Linked DNA regions of Mus musculus: region 2 is reported to be linked to region 1. The links are microRNA targets in miRTarBase. Many come from high-throughput screens and were not tested one by one. Region 1 holds a microRNA gene; the other region holds the end of a gene's coding sequence.
What was found. The annotated mature microRNA mmu-miR-9-5p reads UCUUUGGUUAUCUAGCUGUAUGA and lies in region 1 at 2,193-2,215, shown strand. An mRNA with a match to its seed (bases 2 to 7 or 8) in the 3' UTR can be bound and repressed. Matches are read on the target gene's strand: a 7mer-m8 pairs with bases 2 to 8, a 7mer-A1 pairs with bases 2 to 7 and ends in A, and an 8mer does both.

Region 2: miRTarBase lists Narf as a target of mmu-miR-9-5p. Seed matches in the 3' UTR shown: 7mer-A1 at 661-667.

What each region holds. Positions count from the first base shown.
Region 1 is chr13:83,736,629-83,739,888 of GRCm38, forward strand. Mir9-2 (microRNA 9-2) reads left to right here and starts at 2,186; the gene lies at 2,186-2,257. It overlaps C130071C03Rik (RIKEN cDNA C130071C03 gene), which reads left to right. Exons shown (of 4, transcript NR_152245.1): 4 at 1,542-3,260. Gm51268 (predicted gene, 51268) reads right to left here and starts at 2,248; the gene lies at 2,193-2,248.
Region 2 is chr11:121,252,473-121,255,732 of GRCm38, forward strand. It overlaps Narf (nuclear prelamin A recognition factor), which reads left to right. Exons shown (of 11, transcript NM_026272.3): 11 at 209-3,260. The coding sequence ends at 450. Among named protein-coding and RNA genes, the nearest start is that of Foxk2, 5.9 kb to the right of the region's middle.

The DNA of each region.
Region 1 (3,260 bases):
ATCATTAAAACACAAACCAAACAAACAAACAAAAAAAACTTGTCAGTCTCTTCTTTACAGAGTTTAGATTTTAGGGCTCTGTATGTGATTAAATAACCAGGTTCTTATTTATGTGTTAAATGAATAAATTAGTGAATTACTGAGAAAAATTTTATTCCAAAAAAATTAATAAATCCAAAAGTATTTTAGCCACTGGGGAAAATAGACACATTATGGAATTGAGAGCATTGTGAGGCACAGGTGATGTGTGCAATGTACATTTAGAATTACTAATTCTCCTTTAGCATGTAACTTAAAGAAAAGCAACATTACTAAAAAATAATTAGTAATTTGAACAATAATCCATAATGTTTACCCACAGAGAACATGCTTCTTATGTAGATTACCATGAATATTTTGTTGAGAGGGATTTGAATGTTAGATATTAGATGTGCTAGACAGATTATCTATTATAAAGGATGAGAAAGAAAAGGATTCTTTGAAGTGATTTTAAAGTCACACTTTAAAAACTCCTAAGACAATGAATGAAGCTAATTAATTAATGAAATGACCTTCTGCTTCTCGATAGAAGGATATGAGTGGGTGGGGCCAGGGAGGTGTGGTAGCTTCCCTCCCTCCCCATCCAGGTGTTGGATCTACATGTTCAGGAGACAAGACTTTTATTTTAATTTTATAAGCAAGTCTAGTGCATTATTGTCCAGTGTGAAATTTATGTTAAAACAGTAGACAAAGGCTCAGCATTTTTGCTACAGCAGAGTTGTGTACAACATTGAAACTATTGCTGCAATGTTTACCTGTGCAGCATGCTAACCCCCACACACACTCTATATGCAAAGCATTTTTAAAAAAGAAGCCCCACTGTTTAGATCGTGCAGTTCGAACTTACAGAACAAATATGCTGCCCTATCGCCACGGTACACAGATAGAAAACATGACTGAGCTGTAAAGCCATTAAAAACATAACACCAAAGCAAATTGTCATTGTAACCATCGACTCACTGCGTAAAAACAGAGCTGATTCCCAGCCCCAGAAAGCGAGGCCCTGCTTTAAGCAATAGTAAAGTGCCTTCCATCTGCCTGCCTATGCAATCTGCCAGAAGAGAAATGCAGGCAAAGAAGTTCCCCAGACCTGAAATGCTTTTATCTATCCTTAGAGAGAGATTTTCTCCATTCTTTGGATATTAGAGCGATCTACACTAGCGCCAAGGAGGTAAAAGGCCGCGGGTTGCTTTTCAAGGAGCAGTCCGTAGTGCTAGTGGATGAAATGTTGATTGAGAATATAGGGACTGCTGCAAAGCTGCTGCTGCCGTCGCCGCCACCGCTGCCGCCGTCGCCGCCGCCGTCGCCTGTGCTACTCCTGGCAGCAGGCGTGGGGCAGTTGGGTGACCACTGATGCATATCAATAACCATGTACTTGAGATTTCTCATGACATCATCATTACCTTGGTCTCCCGCAGTCTCAAACCTTTGACCTTGCCGGGCTGGTCCACAATTTGGCGGTGAAAGCCCCTCCAATGATGGCCCTTTTCTCCTTCTTTCAGACCGGGGCAGCAGTACGCCAGCAAGAGGGCATGCTCTGCCCGCCTAGAAGTCCTAAGAAATCGAGGATCTCCCTTAAAACATTCACATACAAGATATGTGCAATCAAGCTGCCTGCACTTGGTAAAAAAGATCATGATGCCTAACCCAATGATCCGGAGCAGATCTTTGAATCAGCTGTCACTTCTATAGAATGGGATTTCCCCCTTCTTCCTCTTTAACCAGCGTTGGAAACTGCCGATGGCTTTATACATCTCAGTAGAGGAAGGCTAAAGAATCTTCCGTGAGAATGAAGCAATTTACAATGCAAATAGAGGCCTGTGAAGAGAAGGACACTGCTGCTCACCCCCAACAGCTTGCTGCACCTTAGTCTCTGGTCTTAATTTCTGATACTCATAGATGAATTGTTGGCTAACGATACTGGAGATTACTTGCTGGAAGGGGAAAAGTTTGGAATAAACTCTGAATGCAACAGATCTCATTTGGATGTTCTAGCCGCACACACTAAGACAGAAACCAGGTCATGTTTACATGAAAGGAGAAGCTTAAACGCGGCAAGTACCCCGGAGGACTACGCTTCCCTAAAGCCAAAGAGGATCGAGATCTGGAGTTCAGCCAGAGGAAGGCAGCCTTGTGAGGGAAGCGAGTTGTTATCTTTGGTTATCTAGCTGTATGAGTGTATTGGTCTTCATAAAGCTAGATAACCGAAAGTAAAAACTCCTTCAAGGTCACCGAGGAACGTTCCGGAAAGAAAGACTGCAACCAAGAGACAGTAAAAACCAGAAAGGTCAGGAATGCTTATTGAATCTAACTTTTTTTATCTTATGATTGAAAGTGGGATGCAAGAAAATTAAGTGACACGCATATTGAAATCTAAAGGGGCCAGGCTTTGAGGGGCTTGTACAACTGGAGAGGAGAATTGTGTAGTGTTTTTTACGGGTGACGATGCATGTATTTTCTATATTGTTCATTTTGAAGCAAACGTTTACATATGAGGTTTTTTTTTTCTTTTTTTTTCTTAGAAAGCTGTTATAGTGATGTCTGGTACCTCGCTTAAAAATGATTTCATAATTATGTAGATTTGGGCTGTTCCTATCTGAGGCCCCTCCCCCAAGTTTGAAGCTTGTGCCTGGAAACTTTCTATGTATTTGGGTGTGTACATCAAATTCTGTGAAGTTAGACTTTCAGTAAAGCTTATACTGGAAGGTTAATAATTTATATCTACCGAAGACTTAGAGCTAGCAGGGAAAAGGGGTGGGGGCAAAGGCTGATTTTTATTCTTCTATTCAAAATACAAGGACAGATGCTTCTCTGTTCCAAGAGGGTTTCCTTGAGGAAGCTACTGAAGCAGAAAGACATGATGGAGACGAGATCGCCTCCCCTCTTGTCAAAGTGTTAAAAAAATGTTCTGTCTTACTCTGCGCCTAGCATTGGAAATGAAAGTGACATTTACGCCACAACCCACGTGTGCGCCTCCTCTCTTTTTGTTTAAGGATGATCAGGTCTATCCAGGAAACAGCTCTGGCATCCCAAACTGAAATAATTAGGACGTATATAGACCTGACAAAAATGGAAAGGGGGTGGGGAATCTGAGGGTCTGTCTTGCCTAATTGATTCCGCTAAACGGAAAGCAGGAGATGTGAACGGCAGGACGCTCCGATTCCCACGCTCGGGGGCAAGTGGTAAAGCCTGGCCGGCAGCCTATGACAGACAGCCCTGTT
Region 2 (3,260 bases), not on the chromosome of region 1:
ACCAGTTTACGGGTAATGTATGTGGTAAGAACACCCAGGGCTCTTCTCCTGGGCAGGCTCCATGACAATACTGTGAGCCCCAGTACAATCTTAAGCCATTTAGTACTGCCTGCTTCATGCTTTTCCTGCTTCCAGCTATGTGCCCTGAGGTAAAGCTCCCATGACAGGCCAAGAGGGAAGAAGAGGTCCACTTGTGTGTATCTTTCAGGTTGCTTAAATGGCAGAGGCCAAGCACAGACAGAGGACGGCCACACAGATCGTGCACTGCTGCAGCAAATGGAAGGGATCTACTCCGGCATCCCTGTGCGGCCCCCAGAGAGCAGTACACATGTGCAGGAGTTGTACCAGGAGTGGCTGGAGGGTACTGAATCTCCCAAAGTCCAGGAGGTGCTGCACACCAGCTACCAGAGCTTGGAGCCCTGCACAGACGGCCTGGATATCAAGTGGTGACAAAGCCTGAAGGGCAGGAGGGGACAGCTCTGAGTGGAGAGTGGTGGGTGCTTCAAGGAACAACAGGTCCCTACAGCTTTGCCAGCGCTTCAGGACACAGTTTTCATGTGGTGCTATCTTTGTAGTGTGTGAGGGAGTGGAATGTTTGCACATGGGAGAGGTATTTTCCCTCTCTGCGTAGCCTTTCATCCCAAGATTGTGAGAAAGATCCCAAAGAGGCCAGGGACAGATCCCTGATTTGCAGGTTTAAAAAAAAAAATCAAGATGTGTTTTTAGAGAACCAAGACCCAGGGGTTGTGATCCACGAGCCTAAGATTATTGCTGCAGAAATGGAGGCATCAGGAAGGCCAGGCTGCTGTACAGTGGATAACTATGGCCTTCAGAGAGGCCCAGTCTTCTGGCCCAATTTGGCTCTTTCATTTGTATACATTTTTTTAAAAATAATTTTGAATTCTAGGGCCAGCAAGATGGCTTATTGGTACCACCATTAGTTTGATCCATGGAGCCCACATGGTGGAAGGAGAGACCAACGCCTACAAGCTATCCTCTGACTTTCACACAGGCACATGGCATGCATATGTACCACCGAGACCACACCCCGAAAATAACCGTAAAGAAAATTACACTAGTTTTAAGTCATAGTAACAGTGAGCCATATTTTTTATAGTCCTTGAAGGCCGGCAGTCATTACAGCCCTGGGCCACTGGTGTGCCTGAGTCATTCTTTTACTTGACCTGCCATCAGCGTTGAGCTGGACTCACCTCAGAAGAAAGGCTGCTGAGAATGGCATGCATCACACCCTGCATTTGATGCAATGTATATTTAAAAATAAACAAGTAGAGAATTAAGAGGGTGGCCCACCTAGGCTTTGGGGTTCTAAGGGTGGTGCAGCTCATAGTTACTGCTGTGGGGCCGGAAGACAGAGCTGAGGCTCCGTGGACCCTGGAATGGGTGAACCAGCTTTGTAATGTCCAGCCTCCTCTAAACTCCTCCCCAGTGCCTTTTCATACAAATAGGCCTGGAGCACCTCCTCTCCTCCACAAAGCCCACTGGTCTGGGATAGCATCCCTTCAGCCCTCACTATGCTAATGCGAGCATGCCTTAGGGGAAACAGTATGTCCACACACAGAAATAGCTGCCCGATGGTGAAATTCACAAAATCATGTGACACATACTAGATAGAGTCCACCCAGGAGATAAAGGGGTTTGATGAAGCCCCTGAATTTTGCTCAGTGTGTGACTGCCTTGACCCTTAGTACTGTCAGCTCTATCACAGTCCCACATGCCTCATGTCTTGGTCTTCCTGTGAGTCTGTCTAGGAGTGTAACTGGATATGTTATTGTAAACCAGTGGTTCTCAACTTGTGGGCTGTGTCCCCACAAAGGGGTCACATATCAGATATTTACATTATAATTCATAACAGTAGCAATACTACAGTTATGAAGTAGCAACAGAATAATTTTATAATTGTTGGGGGGGTCACCAGAACAGAAGAAACTATTAAAGGGTCACAGCATAGGAAGGTTGAGAACCACTACTATAAATTATGATTTTTTTTTTTTTTTTGCTTTCAGTCTATATGCCTTGGGTATCCATCCCCAAAGTAACTGGTTATGGAATAAACAATGCAATGGGGTCTTGAGTGTGGCATTGAAGGAGTCAGCTGTTCTCCTGTCCTGGACTACACCCCGCAGTCCGCCTCCCTCACCAGGCCCCAGCCTGGGTGATGATACCTTTTTCCCAGTCCCTCTCTAATAGGTCAGGAGAAGGTTCAGAACACGGGGAGTCAGCGTGGGAAGGGACTGACTTCCTGCAAACTTCATGGCACCACCCATGATAGCAACATAGGCTAGGGGCTAAGATGTGAGATCTATGACCTTCTGTTTCACTGATGCTAGGCCGTGGCCCTGTGAGCTTTTCAAGACTACAGGTGCCTTTCTGTCCCAGCACTTGGAGCCAGAGGCAGGTGGATCTCTGTGAATTAGAGGCTAGTCTAGGTTACAGAGTGAGTTCCAGGACAGTCAGGAATACATAGAGCAACCCTGCCTTATCCCCCAACTCCCTCCCCCCTAAAAACAAAGCCCAAAGCAATGGAAGTATGAAGTGAGCAAGTTCTTGACAGACAGGACCCAGTCAAAGCATCACGACAGTCAGAGTGGACAACGTACGCTGGTGCAGGCATGAGGGGCATAACCCAAGCTCCTATCTGCCCAGTGCTCTGTTGTACCATGCTTCTGCTCTGCTTGGGCAGAGGCCCAATCTTAGTTTGATTCCTACCTGGCCCGAGCTGTATGGGTTTGCACTACTGTGGGTAACCGTGCTTCTACATGATGAGATTCTGTCTCAAAGACTAAATTTGGTTTCTGTTACAGGTAATTTAGAAATAGTTCTGTCAGGGCTTGTGCCATAGTTCAGGAGCAGGGCGTGTGCCTAGCATCCATGGGCACCACATTCGTTCTCAAGATCCACAGTAGCAGAAAGTGACAGGGAGGATTGCTGCATTCTTTAGTACGTTGTTTGGACTGCTGTTAAGATCTGACTCAGTGTGTGCCTTACCCATTACTGGTCGACATGTGGGCTTCCCAGGTGCATCACAGGTGAGCCAACCACAGGGTTTGGGGTTGCAGCTGGCAGCTAGGCTGCAGGCGCTGCCCTGGGTACACCACTCACCTGAGGGGCACAGCTGGCCGGAAGGGTAATCAGGAAGTGTGGCTCCTTTTCCACTTGGCATATTACATATGGGGCTCCCTCCTGCATCTAGAGATGGGAAACTGCCTGAAGAACTTACTCTGGTTTACCATTTGAGAGAG